Linked DNA regions of Drosophila melanogaster. The protein of the gene in region 2 interacts with the protein of the main gene of each other region in a pairwise test. Each region holds a gene or a part of one and is shown on either strand. Other genes may lie near its edges.

Evidence for each region. The genes of interacting proteins can lie anywhere in the genome.
Region 1: the proteins of Spt6 (region 2) and Neu2 interact in a two-hybrid assay, tested with the Drosophila melanogaster proteins (one large-scale study listed by BioGRID).

What each region holds. Positions count from the first base shown.
Region 1 is NT_037436.4:21,488,306-21,492,577, reverse strand, and holds Neu2 (Neuroectoderm-expressed 2), read left to right. Parts: upstream 1-1,991; 5' UTR 1,992-2,098; intron 2,099-2,527; 5' UTR 2,528-2,576; coding exon 2,577-3,725; 3' UTR 3,726-3,728; downstream 3,729-4,272. Other genes in the region: CG7202 (uncharacterized protein), read left to right, coding at 1-1, 391-1,130.
Region 2 is NC_004354.4:6,266,181-6,273,841, reverse strand, and holds the start of Spt6 (Spt6), read right to left. Parts: upstream 6,046-7,661; 5' UTR 5,936-6,045; coding exon 5,897-5,935; intron 5,736-5,896; coding exon 5,651-5,735; intron 5,076-5,650; coding exon 4,870-5,075; intron 4,718-4,869; coding exon 4,598-4,717; intron 4,529-4,597; coding exon 4,377-4,528; intron 4,312-4,376; coding exon 1-4,311. Other genes in the region: schlank, read left to right, coding at 7,251-7,435. UniProt on the Drosophila melanogaster protein: Histone H3-H4 chaperone that plays a role in maintenance of chromatin structure during RNA polymerase II transcription elongation.

The sequences.
Region 1 (4,272 bases), on a different chromosome or scaffold from region 2:
GGTGAGGATGTCCATTGTTGTTTTGAGTTAAGTGAAGAAATGGTGGTTGAATCCAACACTACACTTATGATTTTTTAATCACTCTTAAAAGTGATCCTTTTAAAGCCGGATACATTAGAAGTTAATGTCTATATTATTTTAATCGTTATTTGTGGTATTAAAGGGTATTCGAGATTTGATTTAACATATGAAATAGATATCAGACATTAAGTATATGTATTAATCTTTCTTAAGATCACTTGCCAGTGATCTGGCCATGTCCGTCTTTCCGTCCGACTGAACGTAGATACCTAGAAAAGTTGATGTAATTTGGTGTTCCAAATACTTATCGACCCTTAAAGTTTTTCACAAAGTTGTTATTTACCTTTTGCCTTTTATTCACTTGTACAGAGCGTCCTGGGATTACGTTTGAGCCGCAGCTGTGCCACAGTCCCTCAGAGCAGAGTAGCTCCGACAGCTCCGACAGCACCTACCAGTTTGCGACGAGCTTCGGCGTGATCTTTGCCCTGACCTTTGGTCTGTCCAAGCTGCTCCAACTGGCGGAGCTGCAGGCCAAAAGGTATTTCAAGAGCAAAAAGGCGCTGCATCCCAAATCTGCTGCCAAAGTGCAGGACCCAGTTGTTGAGCAGAAGGCGCCAAGCCAGCAGGACGATTCGAATCCCTTCGATCTCCTGCAGGACCACAATGAAAATCTGAAGGAGCAGCTCAGTATCCTGCAGTTGCAGTGTCTGGAAATGCGCGAACTTCTGCACGAGCTGGATATCAGCAGTAGCTCCAGTAGCTATGGAAGTGTCAGATCCGGAAACCGGGTAGCAATGGCCAAGTCCTCCGAAGAATCAATGGTGGTGTGGAGGCGATCGGACTCCCTGACCGGTACGGTCTCCGGCTCATTGCACGCCGAAAAGGTCAACTCCCCCTCCACACAAAACATCTACATTACCAACAGCCACTTCCACATCAACGGACAGGTCTACCTGACCGAGAACCACGTGAACGTCGAGCTCACCCAGAACGCTTCTTTGTTCGGTCGGGGGCAGAGCGAGTTCCTGCAGGTGGCGGGAAGGTTCATCTCCGGACCAAAGAAGATGCCCATGTTAACGGGCATGCGGTGCCACAACATCCTCATATGAGGAGTCTTCAAAATCATCCATTTCACTCGGAATAAACAATGTTACTAGCAATTCAACGACGTTTATCTTTAGTAGTTGGTAATACAAGGGAAATGGTTCCATAGAAAAAGGGCATCGCATCAAATAAGGCTTGCTCGACTATAGGTTACTTTCTAGTTTTATTATTGTAGTTGATTTAACATAAATGTTTTTAAAAACTTTGGGGTTCGAGTGTTTTAATGTCATCAAGAAAAGGAATTTAAGGAATAATTCTAGCACATTATCTATAAAGGCAATAATCGCTTACTCCTTTTGATTTACAAAGTTATTAATAATGTACATATGTACTTAATTAACACCAGAAATCGATGCCATTTACTTTGTTTTAGTCTTGTATTTAAAATTGAATTATTCGTTTTTTTGTACTGTATGTTTTTTATTGAATAATTTGCTACTAGAATGATTCCGCCATGGGGTATATTGGGAATAGAAGGGTATGGCTAGCTTTATTGGTCATTGGGTAAATGGTTTTCCCCTGTTTTCCACCACCCCAATAAGTATATTTCGTTACAAACACATGGTTTTAGAGTTCAGCAATAATGATTTAGCACTTTGGGGTCGACCAAGGAAAGATTTTTTCTTTAACCATAGTTACTTTTACCTGCATGTATCACATTATGCATTGACCTGCTTGGATCTACAGAAAATCGTAAGATTAGTTGGGACGCACCGTAAAAAGATGAGTGCAGCTGCTGGAAAGCCCTTCTTTGATGACACCTGACCCAGGTAACATTGTTAAATATGCTATGTTGCCCATTTTACAGAACCAAACGACCTTGGGACATGTTTGTATATAAGCCTTACGACTTACCTATTCACTTCAGAAGGAGTACAACCCTTGTCATAGCAACATCTTTACAGATTGCCAATTCCTGTGCTTATTGCCACATTTTAAATACGCATTCGCCGTGAACAAACACGAAAATAAGGTAAGTTTAAGGTAAGGATTGCCATTGTGGGTCAATTCGTGCCGAGTTAGCAAAGTCATAAATAAACCAAGATGTATTTGGAAATTAGTGCAATTTATGTTTAAAGCTCTACACAAGTATTAAATTTCATTGATTATTAAATATAAGAAAGAGTGCAGAGGGTTCTTTTTGATGCTATGCAACTAAAAGATGACGTTTGTCACTGACCTTATAAAGTGTATGTGTCATCCATGACTACGATCTAGTCGTACCTATTCTGTCCGTTTGTTTGAAAGTTGAGATCTCAGTGTATTTAGCATTCAGGATGTAGATTCCAGAAACGCTAATACTCAAAGATCTGGGAATAACCATTATACTTTTTTGAAACCGTTTAAGTGCACGATTTTGTATATTCGCAATTTTATATTCACACAGTTCGTGTCATTTCAGATCGATGGAATCGTCAATATGCCGAGTTTGCCTGGTCAGTTACGAAAATATGGCCAGTGTTTTCGATGAGTCTCATGAACCGGGCCTATCCATTGCGTACATAATATACAAGTGCACCGGCTGGCAAGTTGAGAAGCACGATCCACTGTCCAACACCATATGCAAGTCCTGTCTGGAGGATGCGCAGAATGCATTCGATATCATAGAAACGTACGAGAGAAGTCACCAGTTTTACCGCTTCCTCAAGGATGTACGGGAGGAGGAGAGTGAAAATGATGGATCCGGATGCTCAGAAGAAGTGGAGGCAGCTGAGAGGGATCTCCAGGATGGTGCCGACGACGTCGATTCCGGCAATGAACCTGATATTAACGAATGTGATATCAAGGCCAAGGAGAAACCAGGCTTTAGCTGTTCTCACTGCCCTAAATCTTTTCAAGTAAAATCAAATCTGAAGGTACACATGCGTTCACACACAGGAGAACGTCCCTTCACGTGTTCCCTCTGCCCCAAGTCCTTTGGCTATAGCTCTGGTCTTCAGAATCACATGCGAACCCACACAGGAGAACGACCCTTCCAGTGCTCGCATTGCCCAAGGTCCTTTACAGCTGGGCACCACCTCAAGGCCCACATACAGATGCACGAAAGAAGAGGATCGTTAAGGTGCCCATACTGCCAAAAGTGCTTTCTAACTTCTTTAATTCTCAAGCAGCATTTGGCCACGCACACTGATGAAACGCAGTTCAAGTGTTCCCAGTGCTCGAAGTCCTTTCAAGTCGAACATGAACTTTGGATGCACATGCGAGTGCACCAAGAACGCCTCTTTACTTGTGGCCATTGCTCAAAGGACTTTGCGCTACATGCGTATCTCAAGCGACACCTGTCAAGGAACGCGAGATGCTCTCAAAGCTCAAAAGCATCTGCTCACAAAACACTAGGCCACTCAAAGGCACTTAAGTGTGGTAAGTGCCCAAAAACTTTCACTGACCGTTCGGCTCTGTCCACTCACTTGAAATCACACACCAAAAATAAGCCATTGCTCGAAGGTCCTTGCAAATCTTCAGGATCTAAGCCGGCACATAGTAACGCACAAAGAAAACCGTTTAAGTGTTCCAGCTGCCCAAGGACTTTTTCGCGGAAATCCGCACTGCTAACACACTTGCAAACCCACACAGGAAAACTGGGCACAAATCGCATGTAGAAGAAAGAACCGTTTGAGAAGGCTAAAAGAATTCGATTCTTTTTTTTTTTTTGTTCGCACGGGTCCTACGTCCACACCTCCCGCCCAACCGACCGAGGGGCGCTGCCGTGTATCGTACGGCTCGATTCGCGAGAAGATATAGACGCGATATAAAAAAGAGAACAGGAACGAGGAAATGAATATAATGTAAAATAACTATATTAAATATTACTGTTAGTAGGATCTAATTATGTAATAAAAAAGTTAAAATCGATTGCTTTAAGAGCGGCAGAGAGTTAAGTCTATTATAGTCAGAACATAAAACTCTGTAAGGGTCATGCAACTCATAGTTAGATCTACAATGATTTAAGATAAGGGGTATATAGTTTCTAGTGAATCTACTTGGAACCGAAAAGTTAAGCCGACTAATAAAGTCGGGACTCTCAACATCCCCACGAATAAGCTTACAAATAAAGACTGTTCCAAGCATAGTTCTACGGTTAGCTAGGGACGGTAAATTAATTAAAGGAAGTCTACTAATATAAGGAGGTAATATACGGTTTGCATC
Region 2 (7,661 bases):
TGTCCACTGGGCGTGTATGGCGTATTGATGGCGCCAAACGACGGCGTCGATGAGCTGCCATAGTGGGAGGAAGATACTCCAGCCCCTGGAGCAGAACTGCCCGACGTGCCGTAGCCAGTGATGGATTGCGTAATGGAGTAGGCGCTGGAACCGCCACCGCCGACGGCACTGCTGATGCCACTGCGCGGCGTTCCACCAGTCACGCTGCCAGTGACGCTGTAGGGCGCCTGGGGGCCCAAGGAGGTCTGGGATGACGACGAGATCGTCGGCGGCGGACGCATCAAGTGCAGTGGCGTTAAGTTGGACGCCGAGGCGCTGGCCGGCGTGGCCGTTGGATCCAGCCAGTGTTCCTTAAACCAACGCAGCAGACTGTTAACCGTATCGAAAATCTGGCCACGGAAACGATAGCCCTCCGGCATGACCGTCACATACTCGTGACGCACCTTCGTCTTGGGCAGATAGGACAGCAGGAACTTGCCCGGCATGGCGCGTGAGGCCGTAAAAAAGTAGTGTATCTTCTTCGGATCATTTGCCTTCTCCTCGCGCAGCAACTTTTCCATGACATCCCGTTCATTTTCATCGCCGGTCACCATGTTTGGCTTGTAGTACTTGTACTGTATCAGTTCGCGGGCAGCCAAGGCCATCGGCATGATGTGGCGGGCGATGATCTCGTCCAGATCCTCGAACTCCTCGGTGCCGATCCACAGACTTCTGCCCAGGCTGAAATCGTTCTCTTTACCCTCCTCGCGCACATCGATGTGCTGGAAGATGTCGTCGGCCACCTTCCAGGTGGCTGTCAGATGGTCCTTGGACTTGCTGCTCGGACGCAGGGCCACCTCGCCCTGATCGGCCTCCGCTAGCATGGCCACCACCTCCGCGTACGACTTGTTGAAGAAGCTGGGATGGGCGATTACGCGACGCGCGTAAATTTTGCGCTTCAGAGCCCTGGCCTTGGCATCGCTCACTTTCCGATTGTCCTGCTCCTCAGTCACATAATCATAGTAGTTGTCGCGACGCGGCCGCCACTCATTGTTCACATCCTTAAGATCAGCGGTCCTCGAAGAGCATTCGACTGAGAACCGGTCAATGTCTATCTTAATGATGCGAACATGAATCATCTGTGAGACGCGCACACGTTCTTCGGGATTGCGAACCTGTCTATCGGACAAGTTCTTGATGTGTATAAAGCCAGGCAGGCCGTTCTCCAGACGCACACGCACACCAGATGGCTGGCCAGGGCACGCGTTCGCGTCAAAGTGATTCCACACCTCGGACAGCTCTGGGAAGTCGTCCTTGTGGCAGAAGGGGCACTGCCAGCTTTCGTTGGAATCTAGACGCACCGGATTTGCGCTGTCTAGCTGATCGCCCTGCGGCCGACGGTAGGTGAAACCGGTGACCATGGCCGTGACGCACTTGCCCACATAAAACGAGTCGGGCGTCTCCTTGGTCAGCATATCGAAGAGCTCCTCCGCACTGGGCTTTGTGTACGGAGTGCGGTAGTCCTTGTACAGGCAGCTCAACTCGTTCCTTATGTCGTACAAGGTTATGCTCTTGCTGCCGAATCCCTGGCGCTCCAGTTCCACAGCGAATGCGTCCAGATCGAGATCCTTAAGGCGCTCTGGCGACTCGAGAATTTCCTCAAGGGCACCGGCCGGATTGGTCTCCTCGTCGTCGTACTCCATGGCATCGATGGCCATCTTTCTGGCCCACTCGTACGTTTCTGGATGCACACGCGACCCGTCCAGCACCTCGACATACGCCTCTGTGCTGTCGCCCAGCGATGAGGTATCGATCTTAATGAAACCGCTGCAGTTGATAAAGACCCTGGGCCCCAGATGACACACGGTGACCAGCTGGGTGCGGTTCTCCAACCGCTGGTTGCTCTGCTTAAGAAGTTTAAGTAAAGCCTGACCCTTGCGCGGACCCAAGCCACAGATGTACTGCAGCAGGTTGATGGTCCGTGAGTTCTGCACCATCAGGTTAATGTCCAGACCCACCTCGCTCGTTCGATTGATAAACTGCAGGCTGAGCTGCTCCAGCAGCTGTTCGCGCGGCACACGCTCCTGTAGCGGATGGTAGCGCAGGCAGAGAATCTCGTCGTCCGCATCACACAGCTGTGAGTATTCCACTAGCGGATCCTGCATCTTGCGGGCCAGCGAAGCAGCCTGCTTCAGCAGAGGAGGATACTCCTTAAAGTCAGACTCGCCCTTCTTCGAGTTGGCATAGATCTTGGCCAGCTCGTTGTCGATTATCTCCACCTCGATGGGCGGAAATTGTTCGGAGGTCTCGAGTTCATGCAGAATCTCCTTAATGTCTGCCTGGATGTTCTGGGCATCGCGCGATTCCGCTCCGATGACAACAATGTGTGGCTTCTTCATTTTGATAAAGTCACTCAGCTTTCGAAGGTCGGCCAACTTCTGGGCCTTCTCCTCAAGGTTGTAAGAATTCTTGCGCTTCAGAATGTTCGGCAGTCGCAGGTAGTCGGAGATGTCGCCCTCCACGGTAGTCACCGCACAGAAAGCGGCCACTGAGTGATCGGGATCGTAGGCCAGACCCAGCACCCGTATGCCCCTCAGCGTGCTCCACTCCTCGTAGCCAAAGTCGGGGGGCAGTTGCGGTTTATAGGGTGCCACCTTTAGCCACTTATACAGCTTACCCGTGCAGGAACGCAGCACAAATTGCTGAGCCTCCTCGTGCAGAGTTGAGCGCAGCTCCTTGATCAGATCCGGAATGACCCACTTCTGCAGCGCCAGCTGTACGCATTCCGCCCGCAGCTTATTCCACTCCTGCACGTGCTTGGCAAACTGATCCAGCTGGTACAGGGCCTTGGACTCTTCCACATAGTCACCGGGTGTTCCGTTGGCACACGCATTGCCCTCGAACTCCTCGAGGAACGTTATCTCCAGCAGCTTCTCCTCCTCGGCCATCATTAGCTTTATGAATTGATCGCCAAATAGATCGCTTACCGGCTTCTTGGCCACGTACTTCATCGAATACACCGGCGAATTCTCATCGATCAGCACCATGCCATTCTTGGTGGGCCGTATGTTAATCCTAGCTCTGTCGAAATACACCTCACGCATGGTCTTGCGCAGCAGAGGCTCTTGTGCCAGCTGTCGGGCCACAACGTATTTTGCGGCATGGATAACCTCATCCGTGGTCATGAAGCGCGGCGACAAATATTGCTTGGCCAGCTCTGTGGGACCGATGCTTTCCTGGGTGATCTCATTGCGCTGGTAATTGTCGCGCAGATTTTCGGCATACTGCTCCGGCGTGAGACCAAAGTGTTTGGCAAAGCCGCAGATGCCCGCCTTGCGGAATACCGCATAGGGACTGCTGTTGGACGCCTGCTTTAGTTGGTAATCGATCAGCTCGGGATCGTCATCGTCTTCCGGCTCTGGTACAACTATCGCCTCGGCCGCATCATCACCGTTCTCAGCGGCGGCTGCCTGGCGACGCGCCTTGGCCTCGCGACGCTCCTGTATAGCTTTTCGTCGCTGCTCCGCCTGCATGCGGGGCAGCTCATGCGAATAGTTCAGCAGAAAGTACATGTGCACGTCCTTTAGCTCCTCCATCGACTGTACGTCGGCGAGGCGCTCGAAATCGCTGTCCAGGATGAGGCGAACATCATCCGGTACGGGTTGATCTGTGTCGGCGCATAGCGTGTCCAGCTGGAACTGACGCATCTTTTCGAAAAGCACCTTTAGCTTGCGCTTTCGCTCGTTTAGCTGACACCAGATCCCATCGTAGTAGTAAACCTTCCAGAGATCGTCGATATTAAGCTCTGGCTTCACATACTCCTTGCGATAGAAGGCTATAAAGGGCACCTCCAACTGCTGGTTGCGTATAAATTCTAGCGTCTGCTTAATCTTGTTAACGGTTGTCGGTGGTTTGCGCATTTTCTCGCGGCTCTCCGGCTTTTCCTGTTCCGAAACAGTGTGCTTGCAGAAGGCATATTTGTAGATCCATTCAGCCTCGAGGTCCAGCTCGTCTGATCCCTCGGGCACCGGGGTTACGGGCACCTCTCGCAGCTGCATTCTTTCTGGGATGTCTGTCTTGCGAATCTCGTTGTCCATATCGGTGAAATGACCACGCTTGAGCTCGCTGGGCTCGTATATGTCGAAGATTGTCTTCTTGACCACCTTCTTTTTGAGCGCTTTCTTCTTCTTGACGCGCGTATCATCGCCGACGCCCAGATCCTCATCGTACTCATCTCCTTCCGAGTCATCTTCGTAGTCGTCTTCCTCGTACTTTGAGAAGTCGTCATAGTCGAAGTCTACGCCAAAGATGTCCTGACCCTCTTGAAGTGATCTGTGGTTGGATTATATTAATCGTATCTATTGATATCTAAACTTTATTATAGTTTGTATACTTACGCGTCTGTAAAGATGGGGCGCCGTTTCTTCTTCTTCTCGGCTATGGGACGCCCATTATCGTCCACAATGAAGTCATCTGCGTCCGACTCCGTATCCACGTCGTCGTAGTCGTCCGCCTCCCTGTGACTGCGCTCGCTGCGATGACCAATGCTCTGTAGGATCAGGGGCAATCAGTTGGACACTGTGCATTAATTGGTGGTCAGGGATTACTAGTGGCATACCTCATCGTTCTCGTCGAACAACTGCTCGGCAATCTGCTCACGCACCAGACCCTCGTCCACGTGCTGCTCCTCGCCATCGCTTTCGTTGTCGTGGATGCGACGCAGACGCTTGAACCGCTTCTACAAGGGAAAACATAATTTCAAACAATATATTTGAGGAGATAGAAGCCCCAATCCCTCAGCTATGTTATTCTTTGTTAGTTAAGCTTCGAAATTGGAGCCACAATTGGAGTTTAAAAAGTACATAGTTCTTCCCTGAAGGGAACACCTACCCGTCTCTCGACTTTGACGCCCAGATTCTCCTCGATAAGATCGTAGTCGTCGTCCTCCAGTCGATCGTCCAGATCGTCGTCCTCGTGCTTTTTGCGCTTCTTGCCGCTGCCGACGCCATCGGAATCGTAACCACTGCCATCGTCCTCCTCGATGGGATTGTCGTCGATCAGATCTTTGAGCTCTTCGCGCAGCCGTTCCTCGTCGTCTACGGAATAGGGCAATAAGAATATCGGTTTACCTTTTACCTTCATTGTAGCCGCAGATATACATATGCAACTGAAAACTGTTTTTAAAGCTTAAATTTAAGTAATTCACCCGGTTTTGAGAAAGACCTACATTTGATAAATTACCTAGATTTCGATATAGATAAGCCCTAACCATTGATTATTCCAGCTCCATCTATTGAACTAATTCTCCCTCCCTGCTTTGATTTGCAATTTCTTGGAATACGCCGCGTTCTTCCAATTCGCCGCACTTGTTTTATTTACTGGAACGAGCGCAGCTGTTTGTTGTTGTTGCTGCTGCTATTGCTACTGCTGATGCTGATATTTGATGGCCACGGTAGCACGGTAAAAACACAAGACCTAACCTCAAAGTTGTAAACAAAAGAAGTTGCAAGCGTGTGGCATTGGCCAGTTATAGGTGCCTTTATCCCGGATATGGACTGTTCCGATCGATGGATGGTGAGAGGGGTGAAAAACCCGCCAGAGATCGCCACATACGTATGTATGTATGTATGTATTTGTACGCGCCTTCAGCGGCTCCAGTGGAAAAACTCACCTTCTTCTTCTTCGCTACTATCGGAGACGGCCGCCTTCAGTTTCTTGAGTCTCTTGCGCTCGTTGACGTCCAATTCTTCCTCCTCCTGCGGGAAAAACGAAGAAAAGCCATTTGGTTAATTCAATATATATGTAGGCACATATGTATGTACACACACGCAAGGCGCAACGCACACCGCACACATAACGACGCACGAACGGTACGCGCTTCTAGAAATAGTGTTTTTGGGGTTCCGCAGACACCTACCTCCGATTCCTCGGCCTCGGAGTCCAGAAATTCGGCCATAATATAATGGAATAAAGCTTAACTTAATAATAAAGTGCGTATTAATGCAGAGAAACGAAGAGTTTGTGAGCGTTTCTTCCTCTTCTCTTCTTCTTTATTTCTCATCGCATTGCACAAAAGTTGGTATTAAAATACTAGCTAAATACTAAATACCACGAACAGTTTTCTACTGTTTACAGTACAGTTTGCTGTTAGCTTACAGCAGTGTTCTCGCTGCCAGCCCTGGTTTGCATTGCAGAACTACAGTGGATCCTTCCTATAACCTATGGTTAGTTATCCGTTTTCATGTGCTGACAACAATTGGACAAGAATTTTGCACACATACTTGTATTGATAAGCGGGAAAATTCCCCTATATGGGAACACACATATGCCCTTTGGTCTCAACGATGAAGTTTGCTAATTTCCATTATAGTCCATGGCATACTTCCTTTACATAGTTGACTTTTATGAGTTCTTACCGAAAAACCAACACTAATTGTAGCGCATAATAATTTCTCTCAAAAACTAGTGGTAAACGTAATGAACAATAATAATAATAAGCAATAAACAAAATTCGCAAACTTGTGAATTAAAAGTTCTTTAAAATTATTAGTGCATTTGGTATTTTGTGTAGCTTCTAAAGCCTTATTTTTGCTGGCTTTCCTTGTCTTCCCGTACACGGGCACACTTGTCGCGCTGCAGTTACATTTACTGCTCCGCCGTCTCTGGGCACACTGTATTGTTGTTGCTCGACGAGGAAATACTATTAGTATTTTTTTTCGTTCATCCTGAAAGTTTAAGTGGACGAAACGAGCGGCGGCCGACTCGACACCGAGCCGAAATTCAGAAAGTCTATTGCTTTGGTCGAGAACAGATTGTCAGGGAACTTCACTTCATTTACGCTCCCAAACAAACGGCAAAGGTAGCATTTCCAAAAACGAATTAAATCGAAATCCAAATAGAAATAGAAGTAGAATTAGAAAAGCCATAAGCGCAAGTTAACGAGACAAGACAACAACAATTCGATTCGGCGGTTTTTGTTTTTTTGCCAGTGTGTGTTTGTGCTACGCTGTGAGTGTGCATTAGTGTCCGGTGCTCCTGTTGTTGTTCTTGTTGCTGTTGTTGTCGCTTATTGTTGTTCTTGCTGTTATTGTTGCTGTTGTTCGCAAGGCACAATAACACAGGCTCATACAATTGCGAATATTTAGAAAAAGCAAAGCATATACATATGTGACAACAAACGCCAAGGAAAAACTGGAAAGCTAAGCAAAGGAAAACCAAGAAAAAGAAAACAAACAATTGAGAAATTAAGAAGCGGCAACTGAAGCAGCAACATGGACATATTGAATGAGTTCAGCAATGTATTCTGGAGTACGCACATTTGGCTGCCGCCGAACACAACCTGGGCGGACATTGCGCCCGGCTCGCGTCCAGATGTGGTGCACGCCAACTACAAGGACCTCATATGGCCCATTCCATTCGCCGCTGTTGTCATGCTGGTCCGCTACACGCTGGAGCGGTAAGTTTTCCACGTCCATTTTCCCCCCTCCGCACTCTTCCCAACCAACTGACTGACTCCCTTTCCATTCTCGCCATTCCCGGCAACATGATTCCATTCCGCCTCTTTCTCTAACCCCATTCATACGGCTTTCCCTCGCTCTCTCCCGCTCTTTCTCGCTCTCCTTACCATTGAGTAAGCCCACCGCCCCACGTTTGTTGCACCATGTACAGTAAACTTTATTCAT